Lytechinus pictus: one gene and its partner. The protein of the gene in region 1 purifies or fractionates together with the protein of each later gene. This does not show direct contact. Links are inferred from orthologs where the notes say so. Each region holds a gene or a part of one and is shown in the gene's direction. Other genes may lie near its edges. The genes, in order: NCK-interacting protein with SH3 domain-like and gem-associated protein 2-like.

The links.
Region 2: the proteins of NCK-interacting protein with SH3 domain-like (region 1) and gem-associated protein 2-like purify together in Homo sapiens (co-immunoprecipitation; 3 studies listed by BioGRID and IntAct, counting the BioPlex papers as one, with this or other methods). This does not show direct contact. The link is inferred for Lytechinus pictus from reciprocal best matches to the Homo sapiens genes NCKIPSD and GEMIN2.

The regions. Positions count from the first base shown.
Region 1 is NC_087247.1:69,146,201-69,154,343, reverse strand, and holds the start of NCK-interacting protein with SH3 domain-like, read left to right. Parts: upstream 1-5,062; 5' UTR 5,063-5,307; coding exon 5,308-5,354; intron 5,355-8,143. UniProt on the Homo sapiens protein: Has an important role in stress fiber formation induced by active diaphanous protein homolog 1 (DRF1). Induces microspike formation, in vivo. In vitro, stimulates N-WASP-induced ARP2/3 complex activation in the absence of CDC42.
Region 2 is NC_087247.1:36,677,385-36,684,759, reverse strand, and holds the start of gem-associated protein 2-like, read left to right. Parts: upstream 1-4,147; 5' UTR 4,148-4,200; coding exon 4,201-4,316; intron 4,317-7,375. UniProt on the Homo sapiens protein: The SMN complex catalyzes the assembly of small nuclear ribonucleoproteins (snRNPs), the building blocks of the spliceosome, and thereby plays an important role in the splicing of cellular pre-mRNAs.

The DNA.
Region 1 (8,143 bases):
AATTTAAATATTTAAACATCTGTAATATCAAAATATTAAAATACATCAATACTGAGCTGAGAAAATTATAATTTTGATATATTGCACATTAATTGTAATCACTCGATTATTGACAAATCGTAAATATATTTCTATTTATGTACATTTAAGACACCAATTTAAGACAAATAAATACCTAAAGAAAATTATCTGATTCAATAAAACAAAAATATACTTTTGTAGAATTTGAATAATCTTGCTAAAAAAAAATGTTTCTATATAAGCCCAACATTAAATCAAAATAAGGCATGTGATTAATTCCAGTTAAGAATCAAATATATGGGTTTGATAAAAAAAATGATTGCTTTTTTTAATCGAATTCATTTGTGTATAAGAAAACACTCGAGTATAAATAAAATACTGGAATTTGTGTATATGCCTTTTACAGTATATAAAGAAATAGATCAGTTTGGATACATAATTTATCTAAAAATTGATAAAATGCTATTTGAACTTAGAATTTGGCTATCATAGTAAATATCTATCGTTTTTGTATGAAATTAATTGAATAGAACTTATTAATACATTTGGCAAGATTATTCCATAGATCAATCTGATACAAAATTATTTAATAAACAAAAATTGCATAAATGTAAAGTTAAGGGAATTTAATGATCACAGAAATCATTTTTATATTTTTCAACAAATTTAAAATCTGTGACAAAATTTAATGAAAATTGTTAGTGTTCTCACCATCAGGGAAATAAATTGTCCAAAAGTTCCAAATAAAGTTTGAGTTTGAGAGAAGAATGTAGTCTGGTGGTAAAATGGAGACATCAAGTTCAAGTTGTTGAATATCGGACCTTCTTAGGGGGCGAAAAGTTTTCACTGTATGCATGAAGACCAGGGGAACAGCATCATCCACTCATGGGCTGGAGCAACTGAAGAGCAAAAGGTGGCGGCTGGCTTCGAAGATCAAAGCAGAGCGTCATCAACTCTAGATGCGTAGGCGACAGAGTAACAGGCGAGAGGCTGGAAGGTGTCATGCATCGAGCGAAGATAAAGGGACAAAGCAACATGAAGACCAAAAGGCAGCATCATTCACTCGACGAAGAGAAGCAAGGCGAGAGGCTGGAAGGCATCATGAGGCAAAGGTGGGAGACTGTTGAGCCGAAGAGACTGAATGAAGAAAAATAGGCAGCGACATCATCCACTCCATGTAGTCGGGCAATGGTTGTAGTTAAAGGCGAGAGGCTGACTCGCAGGCAGAACTTTCATCTACTCACGTTGAGAAAAAGGCGAAGGTTGGCTGGTAATCAGGCAGAACGTTTATCCACTCACAAAGAGCAATAGGCGAAGATCCGAGCTGGTACTCAGGCAAGGCTTTCATCCACTCAGGTATAGAGCTAAAGGCGAAGACTGGCTGGTAGTAGCATCATCCTACTAGACAAGCCACAGCATTGACGTTGAAGTTATAGGCGAGCTGCTGGCTAGCATCAATCAGGCAAGAAGTAACGGCTGAACAGAAGTACATGTATGAAGGGCTAAATGTTTCTCCAACAGGAACATGATGACGATAAAGTTGACGAAATATGATTGAAAGTTTGTGGCGAACAGATAAGCGAGGCATAAGGTTCGAAGCACCGCTGCCACCAGTTGTAGGGTTGAAGAAAATTATATGTTTGGAGTTGAAAATAAATGGAAGTTCTAAATCATCAAACTGAAGGGGAATGAAGCAGACGCAAAATGAAGATAACTTAAACCGAAGGAGTCTGGTTGTACACTGTTTAATATCTGGGCTATTTTGCCTCAGCTTAACTTTGGATCACAGTATAATTTACATAAATATTTAAATTAGAAATAACAACCAATCAAACTAAAGAAAATGGAAGGATCGAACTAAAATGTAAGAACCCAATTCATAAGATAAACCAATAAGGAATGAGATGAGATGACAAAGATGTCTGGTGATTATGTAATAATGGAAGTAGAAACTAAGGAGTCAGGTGAGGGATGGAATGAGTGGAACACCTGAAGAGAGAATAGAGAAGGAATGAAGATGACAAGAGAAACACAGGAAAGGCATTCAGAGTAGAATGAATGAATGACAACTGAATATCATTAAACTCAAATAACCTAAGTCCAGACTGCAAGGGCAGTACTGAAAAGAAATGCAAATGAACTAAAGTCTAGACAGAACAGAAATGTAAAACACCTGAAGAAAACACAAGTCAAAGGAAATAAACAAAATAGGTAAATGACAAATTAACAATCCTACACAAGTATTAGTTAACATCTTGCCTGAGTTTCAGGTCACATGACCAAGGTCAAAGGTCATTTAGGGTCAATGAACTTAGACCATGTTGGGAAAATTATTTTCAAAATCTTAACCGAAGGTTAAGTTTTTGAAATGACATCATAACTTAAGAAAGTATATGGACCTAGTTCATGAAACTTGGGCATAAGGTTAATCGAGTATTAGTGAACATCCTGCTCGAGTTTCAGGTCACGTGACCAAGGTCAAAGGTCATTTAGGGTCAATGAACTTTGGTCAAGTTGGGGGTATTTGTTGAATTACTATCATAACTTTTAAAATTTATGGATCTAGTCCATGAAACTTGGACATAAGGTTAATCAAGTATTAGTAAACATCCTGCCTGAGTTTCAGGTCACATGACCAAGGTCAAAGGTCATTTAGGGTCAATGAACTTTGGCCAAGTTGGGGGTATTTGTTGAATTACCATCATAACTTTGAAAATTTATGGATCTAGTTCATGAAACTTGGACATAAGAGTAATCAAGTATCACTGAACATCCTGTACGAGTTTCAGGTCACATGACCATGGTCAAAGGTCATTAAAGGTCAATGAACTTTGGCCGTGTTGGGGGTATTTGTTCAATTACCATCCTAACTCTGAAAGTTTATGAATCTAGTTCATAAAACTTGGGATATAAGAGTAATCAAGCATCACTGAACATCCCCTGTGAGTTTCAGGTCACAAAACCAAGTCAAAGGTCAGTTAAGGTCAATAAACTTAGGCCATGTTGGGGTAATTGTTGAATTGCCATCATAACTTTGAAAGTTTATGGATAGAGTGAATGAAATGTGGACATGGGTGTAGTTGACAGTCTTAAGTCTCCATTCAAATGTAATTTATGGTCAATGAACATGGTATTATGTCATTATACAGTATGAATGGTGTTTTTTTTTAATGATTATTTTATAGTAGTTTTCAAAGTTAGCACTGCTGCTATATTAAATTGCGTAATGCAGGCGAGACTGCCAGAGGCGTTCCACTTGTTAAATCTCTATTTTTGTCTCGCCCACCGGAGGTGAAGGCGAGACTTAGGGATCCAAATGTCGTCCGTCGTCCGTCCGTCACAAACTTAATGACACATAACTCCACAACCGTAAGTCGATTTTCAACCAAACTTGGATGGTAGATGGACTTGGGGGACCTGCATGTTATGCTGCAGTCGGAGGTCACATGGTAAGGTCAAAGGTCATTTTCAGGTCAACGTTAAAGTTTACATGCAAGACTCTCTTATGACACCTAACTCCGCAACCGTAAGTCGCTTTTCAACCAAACTTGGATGGTAGATGGACTTGGGGGACCTGCATGTTATGCTGCAGTCGGAGGTCACATGGTAAGGTCAAAGGTCATTTTCAGGTCAACGTTAAAGTTTACATGCAAGACTCTCTTATGACACCTAACTCCGCAACCGTAAGTCGCTTTTCAACCAAACTTGGATGGTAGATGGACTTGGGGGACCTGCATGTTATGCTGAAGTTATAGGTCACATGGTAAGGTCAAAGGTCATTTTCAGGTCAACGTTAAGTTTACATGCAAGACTCTCTTATGATACCTAACTCCGCAACCGTAAGTCGCATTTTAACCAAACTTGGATGGTAGATGGACTTGGGGGACCTGCATGTTATGCTGCAGTCAGAAATCACATGGTAAGGTCAAAGGTCATTTTCAGGTCAACGTTAAAGTTTACATGCAAGACTCTCTTATGACACCTAACTCCGCAACCGAAAGTCACTTTTCAACCAAACTTGGATGGTAGATGGACTTGGGGGACCTGCATGTTATGCTGCAGTCGGAGGTCACATGATAATGTCAAAGGTCATTTTCAGGTCAACATTAAAGTTTACATGCAAGACTCTCTTATGACACCTAACTCTGCAACCGTAAGTCGCATTTTAACCAAACTTGGATGGTAGATGGACTTGGGGGACCTACATGTTATGCTGCAGTCGGAGGTCACATGGTAAGGTCAAAGGTCATTTTCAGGTCAACGTTAAAAGTTTACATGCAAGACTCTCTTATGACACCTAACTACCCAACCATAAGTCACTTTTCAACCAAACTTGGATGGTAGATGGACTTGGGGGACCTGCATGTTATGCTGCAGTCAGAGGTCACATGGTAAGGTCAAAGGTCATTTTCAGGTCAACGTTAAAGTTTACATGCAAGACTCTCTTATGACACCTAACTCCGCAACCGTAAGTCGCTTTTCAACCAAACTTGGATGGTAGATGGACTTGGGGGACCTGCATGTTATGCTGAAGTTATAGGTCACATGGTAAGGTCAAAGGTCATTTTCAGGTCAACGTTAAGTTTACATGCAAGACTCTCTTATGATACCTAACTCCGCAACCGTAAGTCGCATTTTAACCAAACTTGGATGGTAGATGGACTTGGGGGACCTGCATGTTATGCTGCAGTCAGAAATCACATGGTAAGGTCAAAGGTCATTTTCAGGTCAACGTTAAAGTTTACATGCAAGACTCTCTTATGACACCTAACTCCGCAACCGAAAGTCACTTTTCAACCAAACTTGGATGGTAGATGGACTTGGGGGACCTGCATGTTATGCTGCAGTCGGAGGTCACATGATAATGTCAAAGGTCATTTTCAGGGCAACATTAAAGTTTACATGCAAGACTCTCTTATGACACCTAACTCTGCAACCGTAAGTCGCATTTTAACCAAACTTGGATGGTAGATGGACTTGGGGGACCTACATGTTATGCTGCAGTCGGAGGTCACATGGTAAGGTCAAAGGTCATTTTCAGGTCAACGTTAAAAGTTTACATGCAAGACTCTCTTATGACACCTAACTACCCAACCATAAGTCACTTTTCAACCAAACTTGGATGGTAGATGGACTTGGGGGACCTGCATGTTATGCTGCAGTCAGAGGTCACATGGTAAGGTCAAAGGTCATTTTCAGGTCAACGTTATAGTTTACATGCAAGACTCTCTTATGACACCTAACTCCGCATCTGTAAGTCGCTTTTCAACCAAACTTGGATGGTAGATGGACTTGGGGGACCTGCATGTTATGCTGCAGTCGGAGGTCACATGGTAAGGTCATTTTCAGGTCAACATTAAAGTTTACGTGTAAGGCTCTTATGACAAGTGTTATTCCATCCCAGTCATTTCACAATGCAGTTTCGATATAATTCTCTTGCGTGCCCTCGCAAATCACGATATTTCTGGTCATTTTCATAAGTGGGCGAGACACAAAATTGCTTTTGCCTTGTTAATTTAGAAAAAATAATTAAAAGACTTCAATTTAATTAAAGAACCAAGTTATATGATGAATGGTTGTAATGGAAACTGACAGTGTTAAAAAAAATCAAGCATTTGTCCCCCCAAAACAAGAGAAAATAAGCCAATCATTGCCAACATTATTTCACCACACAGGGAATAGTAACAGAGAACAGGGTTATAATAACCTTGTTCATTGAATGAGTGGTGTGAGGTTAGTATATGGTAGTGAGTCCAAACTTCATGTGTGTCCATCTAAAAAACTATTGAATATCCAAAAAATCTGACATCAACATGAAAAGCAACCTAAAATTACACTCTAGCGAAAGTTTCTTAAGGATGAGTTCATTATTCTTGAAAGGATTGACAAAAGATCAGCAAATTTTTCACCATCATCGGCACCCATTCCAAAAAAATCTTAACCTCCCAACAGGCATCACGATATCATCTTTTTGCAAGCAGATACCATAAAAAATGGAAAACATACTGACCGATTCTATAGCATTTTGCTGTACATCTGATATAAATATCTCATTTTTTTTAGCTCGATTTTTTTGTTTAAATCTCAACAAAACTTTGGACCGCGAAGTTAGGTCACACTTTTTCTGAACGGATTTCCAGCACAGCGCGCATTCATCGATCGGAATAGAATTTTGAGATCGCAATAAGGGCAAAACCCCTTGACCTACTTAACATTTTTGTCACTGATTTTATAGTTTATGATCTTGCCGTCAATGTGGTAGCTTTTTGTCTCGCCAGAGCGAGACTATAGGCGCCGCTTTTCCGACGGCGGCGGCGTCAACATTGAAATCTTTACCTTGGTTAAGTTTTTGAAATGCCATCATAACTTAATGGACCTAGTTCATGAAACATCCTGCCTGAGTTTCAGGTCACATGACCGAGGTCAAAGGTCATTTAGGGTCAATGAACTTAGACCATGTTGGGGGAATCAATATCGAAATCCTAACCTAGGTTATGTTTTTGAAATGTTGTCATTACTTCAAAAGTGTATAGACCTAGTTCATAAAACTATAAGGGTAATAGTGTATCACTGAATATCCTGCCTGAGTTTCATGTCACATGATTAAGGTCAAAGGTCACTTAGGGTCAACAAACTTTGGCCATGTTAGGGTTATTTGAGGAATTGTCATAACTTTAGAAGTTTATGGATCTAGTTCATGAAACTTGGACATAAGAGCAACCATGTATTCCTGAATATCATGCGCGAGTTTCAGGTCACATGACCAAGGTCAAAGGTCACTTAGGGTCAATGAACTATGGCCATGTTGGGGGAATCAATATCGAAATCCTAACCTAGGTTAAGTTTTTGAAATGTTGTCATAACTTCAAAAGTGTATAGACCTAGTTCATAAAACTATAAGGGTAATAGTGTATCACTGAATATCCTGCCTGAGTTTCATGTCACATGATTAAGGTCAAAGGTCACTTAGGGTCAGCAAACTTTGGCCATGTTAGGGTTATTTGAGGAATTGTCATAACTTTAGAAGTTTATGGATCTAGTTCATGAAACTTGGACATAAGAGCAACCATGTATTCCTGAATATCATGCGCGAGTTTCAGGTCACATGACCAAGGTCAAAGGTCACTTAGGGTCAATGAACTATGGCCATGTTGGGGGAATCAATATCGAAATCCTAACCTAGGTTATGTTTTTGAAATGTTGTCATAACTTCAAAAGTGTATAGACCTAGTTCATAAAACTATAAGGGTAATAGTGTATCACTGAATATCCTGCCTGAGTTTCATGTCACATGATTAAGGTCAAAGGTCACTTAGGGTCAACAAACTTTGGCCATGTTAGGGTTATTTGAGGAATTGTCATAACTTTAGAAGTTTATGGATCTAGTTCATGAAACTTGGACATAAGAGCAACCATGTATTCCTGAATATCATGCGCAAGTTTCAGGTCACATGACCAAGGTCAAAGGTCACTTAGGGTCAGTGAACTATGGCCATATTGGGGGTATTTGAGGAATTGTCATAACTTTGAAATTTTATGGATCTAGTTCATGAAACTTGGACATAAGAGCAATCAAGAATCTTTGGACATCCTGTGCTAGATTCAGGTCACATGATCAAGGTCAAAGGTCATTAAGGATCAGCAAACTTCGGTAATGTTAGTTGTCATCATAACTTTAAAAGTCTATGGATTTAGTTCATGAAACTTGGATATAAGAGCAGCAATGTATCTCTGAATACCCTGTGTGTGTTTCAGGAACATGCCAAGATCAAAGGTCATTTAATGGTCAATGAACTCTGGCCGTGTTGGGGGTATGTGTTGAATTGGCATTATAACTTAGGAAGTTTATGGTACTTGCTCATGAAACATCGACATAAGGGTAATCAAGTATGAATGATTGTTTTGCACATGTCTTAGGTCACATGATCATGGTCAAAGGTCATTCTGGGTCAATGGACATAATATTTTATTATATTAGTGTTTTCTTCTGTGAATAATTATTCATTAGCTGTTTTTCAAAGGAAGCACTGCTGCTATATCGAATTGCGTAATGCAGGCGAGACTGCCAGAGGCGTTCCACTTGTTTTGAAATTGGTTTTGTATAAATTGTGAATATTTTGTG
Region 2 (7,375 bases), about 32 Mb from region 1:
TCTTAGTCCAATTTTGTGTTTTGTCTGTCTGATTTTTCTTTATCTGTTTAAATCATATTATGCTCAGCCCGGAGCATTCATTTAAAGATGCAAAAAGGGGCTAAATTGTCATGTTTGGGGTTGTATTTTTGTACGAGGACGAATATGTTGAGGTAAAAACTGCAGACTTGTCCAATTACGTGAACGAAAAAAGACTCTGTCCATTTCCCCAGTGATTCCCATTCTAACGAACTGATCATTTACATAATAGTAGGGGCCTTGGAGTCACCCCCATGTTGTCACAAAAGTTCTATATTTTTTATTCATTCATTGTATTTCATTGTACAATGATATTTATATTGTAATAGTAGTAGTAGGAAAATAAGAAATAGTAGTAGGAAAATAAGAAATAATTGTTCATTATAATGTTATCATTTTATATACTATATTATGATTACGTTATGTTATATTACATAATATTATAAGAATCATTTTTTTCATAACTTTATGAAACATAATTTGCTCAGGGCCCATATTATTCCTGGTGCTCGCATTGTCTGTTTAACGAGATATACATGTATAATCCTGTTGTACTAAAACCTCCCGTTTTCAAGTCAATATTCACCAAATATATTTCCTCGCAATTCGAGTTATTATCGTTTTATGTAGTGACATATGCTTCTTTTTCATGACTTCATAAAGTGATTGCCTCATTTTAAGGTCTTGATATAAAACATTTCCTGTCCGTGCTTACGTTCACATTAGTGGATTGGTGAGGTATGTCTGCTCTTTGTGAATTCCTAAAATCAGTCCTTAAAAAAAATATTTGATTAGTACATGATTACAGTGACGACAAGTGCTTCATGTGTTCAGATGTAATTCTAACAAAATCAGCAAGCGCTTGGCACTCGCATTTATTTATTGATTTATTAGATGGCTATGCTGAGATATGTATACTCTTAATGGGTTCCTAAAATATAGTCCTTAAAATGTCCTTGTTTGGGGTCAATATATACAAAAATTCAGCTCGCGCTTCGCGCTCGCATTGTTTGTTTTGCGAAACAGGTACGCATCATGATTACACAAATTTGCTTATAATGTCCCTTTTCAGGTCTAAATACTAAAAATGTTCAGCTCGCGCTACGCGCTCGCATTGTTTGATCAGTGAGATGCATATCCGTTTAATGGCACTGTCCTTAACCTGGTAACTGAGCGCTTCGCGCGCTCACTAAGTGACTCAAATTTTTTGCTGGTGCCCCCCCCCCCAATGCCATGACCCAAGGTCGCAACTGGTTCAGCGTTATGCATGCATGAGAGTTTATTGGAAGAATCAACACAATTATTTTTAACATATTCGATTTTGTTAATTTCAAACAAATTAGAATATAATGGATTTGGAATGTAGACTTTGATGTTTTTCATCAAGCGATAATTAATTCTTCAAATGAATAAAATTTGAAATTAATTATGATTGCAATAGTGATTTCATTGGTTTGAGAACAGCCAGTTGCTTTGTCGTGTTCCTACCTTTTCTTTTCAATTTGTGCCCATGAAGAGAATGACTGAAATAAACTTTGTAAAAGCTAATTGAATACGCTCTCTTGTAATGATAATTATATTTCAGACCTGTAGCTTGGAGGGGGGGGGGGGGGATTCCGGGGATTCCGCGGAACCCTGCCATTTGCCAACACACACACACACACACACAAATCTGGAAGAAACCGGGAAGTGAAGAAGGAAGGAGATGCAAGAGAAGAAGGAAAGGGAAAATGATAAGAAAATGAAGAACAGCGAATGGAACATTTTTTGAAGAAAAAAAACTTAGGTCATTATATGAAACGAAAAAAAAATCGCTTGCTTTGCGATAACGTAGCCTTGAATGAGATAATAATCTAATCAAGAGGACAACTCGCCCACCATTCGAGTCTCTTTACCTCGTTTCAGCGAAATACGGATCCTGTCCATGGTTACAATAAAGAGCTGAATATCAAACATTTCAGCTCGCGCTACGCGCTTGCACTATTTGACTATAGCGAGATGCATATCATATTCCTGAATTACAACAACCAATCGATCCTTGAAATGGTCCCATTTCAGGTCAGTAGGCCTATATCAAAAATCTCAACACTTTGCATTCATAATAATTGTTTATTTAGAAATGCATCCAGTTCATTATTACAAAGGTGCCTTAGAATGTCTCGATTTTAGGACTTATAATCACCCCCCCCCCCCAAAAAAAAAAAAAAAAATCAACTCGAGCTTCGCGCTCCCATCAGATATAGTAACATCGATGTCATCTTCAACATTTCCATTTCTGGTCAGTATATGAAAAAAATCAACTCATACTCCCATTTATTTGTGTATTGAGATACTGTTCGTTCTTTATATATCAAAGCGTGCTTATATCCAGTTTTCGGATTAGAATGTCAACATTTTTCAGCATGCGCTTCTCGCTCTCATCCTTTCTATAGCAAGGCATTCTTTTCATGGGTACAAAAAGTGAATAGAATGTCCCATTTTAGGTCTAAACCTCAAAAAGCTAGCGATTTGCGTTTGCAATAAGTGTTTATCATGTTTATGGGATATATTAATTGTTCTTTATTAAAAACGTGCTCCATGACCAGAGTTTTCAGCTACCGCTTCTCGCTCACATATATTTAGATGAAATATCGATCCTGTTAACCAACACGAAGAGTGCGTACTATGTTCCGTTTTTTTTCGCCAAAATGAAAAAAAACCGAGAAAAATACAAAGCGGCGTCATTGCTTTTATATTCCATTAACGACGACGAGTAAAACTAATGAGAGCCAACTGCAGTACCAAGTATAATGAGCATTACAACTTTTCGAGATACGTTATCTAGCTCTAAATATGCAAATATAATCATTATCTAGGTTTTTTATATTTCATTAACATATAAATTAATAAGAAAATATAAAGCGCTTGTTATGTAAAAGATAAAGTATATTACTAGTATCTGATAGAAATTCCTGGTAAATTCTTAATGAGGTGAGAAATTCAACAGTATGGGATACTCCCACATGAAGAGCTATTTTTCAACTCAAATAAACATTCGTTTTCTTCTATTTTCACAAAATATCATTTTTCAATATAAGGAAAGGAGAGAGCACAAATTTTCAGTACTTGAAAGGCCGGTGTCCAATCATGTACTCCACTCTCCCCCCCCCCCCCTCCAAAAATGGAAATAGCAACATGTTGCAAATGAAAAAAAAGATGAGGGCAGAAATGAAAAAAAAAATGTGAATAATCTCTAAATCATTCAGACATAGCATGTAGCATTCCAAAGCCTGAACAAAATTTCATTCACATTGATGTAATCGTAAGGATTTTGGGATTTTTTTTCTTTCTTTAAACCTCTTACGAGGGACTTTATTTACATATCTATAATACAATATACAAATCACAAAATAAATACAAAAATCAATGCAATCAATCAATTAATGTATTCTAACAATCTTTCAATTTATTTTGTATTCTTATTCGTATAACGTTAGTGTCCAATGAATAAAATACTCTTTAAATTGCATCTCAGTTACGTAACGTGGTAAACAGAAAACCATGTCTGACGTTATCAAACGCCTTTTGAAAGTCTATGAACATTAAAACACCTGATTAATTCATTTTAGAATAATCAATAACATCTGGTACAATAAGTTGCACATTCTCTAAAGCCGACCTATGTTTCCTAAATCCCGATGGATCATTCGAAATAATATGAGGTATAATTTGTTTCACTCTCTTTACCAAGACGCCTGTAGCTATTTTATAATCAATGTTAACTGAGTAATGATATTGGTCTCCAATTTTCTAATAAAATTAAGCTTTCCCCGCCCTTTTATGTAATAATGTTAGCACAGCTTGAATGATTGGTAGTGCGATATGGTGTGTAATCCCGTAGGATTTTTTTGCCAAAATTGATTTTTTGATGGGGTTCAAATTTTCAGACCCCTTCTTCCCTTCGTGGGGGTCCTTTCTTAAGCTAGCGCTAAGTAAAGTAAACCATCGCCAATTTATTATAACATTTACCACAAGAAGGGATCTCCAGTCGTTCTTAAAGTCGCTCTTAACTTACGAACAGCTTTATGAAACACCCACCGGGTAGGTGTAGTACCGTACTATACTACCGTACCGTACGAGCAACTTTCGATTTGAATTGAGCATGTCGAGGGTAGAACTAGAAGCACTATAACGCCCGGGATCATGGATGAACTACTTCCTCAAGCTTTACCAATTGGAGGTCCAGAAGTTTCAGGTGATCTCGAAGAAGACAATAATAGGGCACCAGCCACTGCTGAAGAATATCTACAACGGGTTAGGTAAGGACATTTTGAGAAAAAATATCACTAAAAAAGAGCTGCTGCTGGGCAAATGCGCCGCTTGTCCCACGTATTTATTATTGTGTAAGTTCACTGTAAGTGAATCTGAGCTGTGCAAAAAAAAGCTAATTTTTTATTCGGCCAACCCAGTCGAAAAGTAGTGCTAAATTGACTTCGTATCCAGCCCAAAATGCACATTTTAATTAATGAATTATAGGCCTAACTCAAATTTGGCCCAGATTTTCTTCTTAACGTCAGAATTTACATCGATGTTTGCGTCAGACGACTAACGTCAACGACTTTTACTTGTTACTGACTCGAGGATGAGGTCAATGTAGTTGAATTGATCAAAATGTATTGTTAGTCTTTATTCTTAGACTGATACTATTCATTTATTGATAAATCTGCTGTTTCGGAGCCGGAGGAGTTTTTCAACATTTTCTGATTTTTTTTTGTCCTCCACGCCACTCTAACTCTAAGCACCAAGGCTATTAATTCCTGTGTTAAAAAAGTGAGTGCACGCGAATTAAATGTTGGACTTAAATTACTAGATCTTACCATGGAGCTCCATGACAAAATCTGTTCTTAAATTAGACTCTAGATATTACTAAATTGAAAAAATGTATAAATAGTACTCGCCTGGTCTTTTCTTGGGGTATTGAAGCCTTTTTGTCCAGAACTTGCTCAACTTTTGCGGCAAATTTTGTCGCCATAGGGTTGTGCACATTCTCGTTTAATACTGGTTGTCACGTGACACGGCAATGTCGTTAGGCTGTTTGGCCTGTATTCAAGGCGTTCTATCCGTTATGATTTTATATTGAATGAAGCTAATTCCATCAGGTATAGGCCCCTATCAAGTCAAAATCGATACAGGGATCGAGAGGTGGGGGGTGGAGCCAAAAATTTCCCAGTCACATGGTATGAAAATGATATTTTTTATGACTGTCCACGATCATTAGGGCAAACCCGTGTGTGGCAGTACGGTAGCGTGATGAGTAAAAAAAAAAGAAAAGAAAAGAAAGAAAGAGGGCCAATGTAGGCATACATGGCGCGTGGGAATAAAGTTGCTTTATATGTTCCAAGCGAGTGAAGCAAGCGAGAAAAAAACTTTTCGTGCAAATCTAAATTTGAGATAGATATCTTAACTTACACTTTTCCTTTTCTTTTCATTAATTCCCTTCATTTCTTTTTTATCTTGGTTGTTGAACTTTCGGGGGCCCCTAGGCCTAACCCTTCCATCGTGTACCCCCAGTGCAATATTAGCAGGTGGGTCTCGATAACTCTGGATATTTAGCAATTAGACCTATTTATAGAAAAACATAACGTTAATGTTTTGACCCCTTCCCCCCAAAAAAAAAGGAAAAACAATTATAAACTAAGTTATATACATCCCCCTTTTCTCATTTCGCTTTTTATTTTCTCTATTCCCTCCTTATTTTTTTTTGGGGGGGAGGGACCTTTTCGGGGGGCACCGCCCCTAGCTACGCGCCTACCAGATGAAGAGGCGAGCGAGCAAAACCTTTGTCACTTTTATTACAAATATCAATTTTGCAATAGATTTTGACATAACATTCGGAATTATTCTCGCATGCATTTTTCTTTCCTTTTGCTTTTTTATGGCCTTTTATTTCTCTTCCCTTTCTCTTTCTGTCTTTCTTTCTTTCTTTTCCTTCCTTCATTCCTTTTCTCTTATCCCGTTTTTTTTTGGGTGAAATCCACTGGACCGGGGATCAAGGGCCAGCCTGCATGCCCCCGGCGGTTTACGCCTCTGCCGTGGATGTAAGCTATATATACGCATGATCTTAATCTTCATTATGATTCAAACTATATAGAGGCGCATCCAAGATTTTCCAAATTAAGTAGGGGGGGGGGGGCGGGGTGAATTTTCTCAAGTAAAATTTGACAACTCCCAAAAAAGGTTCTTACTAAAAAAAAAAAAAACGGTCATTATATTGTCTCGCGTAAAGTTTGACAAGTTAAAAAAAAATGGTCACTCAAAATGAAAGTCATTTTGTCCGCGTAATATTCGGCAAGCCCCCCCCCCCCACAAAAATAAGAAAAGGGAAAGTCATTTTGTCCACGTGATATTTGGCAACCCCCCCCCCCAAAAAAAAAAAAAAAAAAAAAAAAAAAAAAAAGGTTTTAACTATAGCAATGATCGAAGGTCATTTTGTCTCGCGTAAAATTTGACAATTTTTTTATAACGTTGTCACTAAAAAGAAGGTCATTTTTTCCACCATTTATTATATTTGGCAAGCCCCCAACCCCCACCCCCATAAAAAAAAGTTTGTCCCTAAAAGTGATGTATAGAAAGTCATATTGTTAATTTGTTCCCAGTAAAATTTTGAATTTGGCAATTAAAAAAAAAGGCAAAAAAGAGAAAAGAATATGAACGAAATATCCCCATTACAAATAATGCTGTACGTGATTCTCATGAGGGGGGGGGGCACTTAACTAGTATTAATAACATATTTAATTCCAAAATGTTTACTATAAATCTCAAAAGGGGGAACGGGCAGAAATGCTCACCCCAACCCCCCCCCTCCCCCCCCCCCCCCCCGCCACTGATTCCAATCAATAATGACTTTTCTCTGCAATACTGATGCTTTGAAATCAAGATACTGAAGATTGATACGCTTAACATAAATTATGAACGTCTGACAAAAAGATAACCAACCGATCACCTGACCGATCAGCTGACCAGTACGCGTATCACTTCGGAGTTGATCACTCGTCGCAGCTGTGTGGAACGCTCACCGAAAATCAACAAAAAGGGCCTGAAATGTAAGTTTAACAATAATCGATTTTAATTTCAACTATTTTTACAACTAAATAAAGGTTTGCCGTCCGAATGAAAGGTATATCGGATAACTCTAACTTGTATTAAGGTGTACAATACCAAAGTCTTGGGTTGGAAATCAGAACAGCATTGTCCAACCCATAATTTGGGTAATGTCGCCTATGAGGTCCATACATGTTAATGTTTGGACCTCATTGGTACTAGGAGTGCTCCACGCCACCTACACAGTCACAGATGGATGATGGCCATTGGGCTCGTA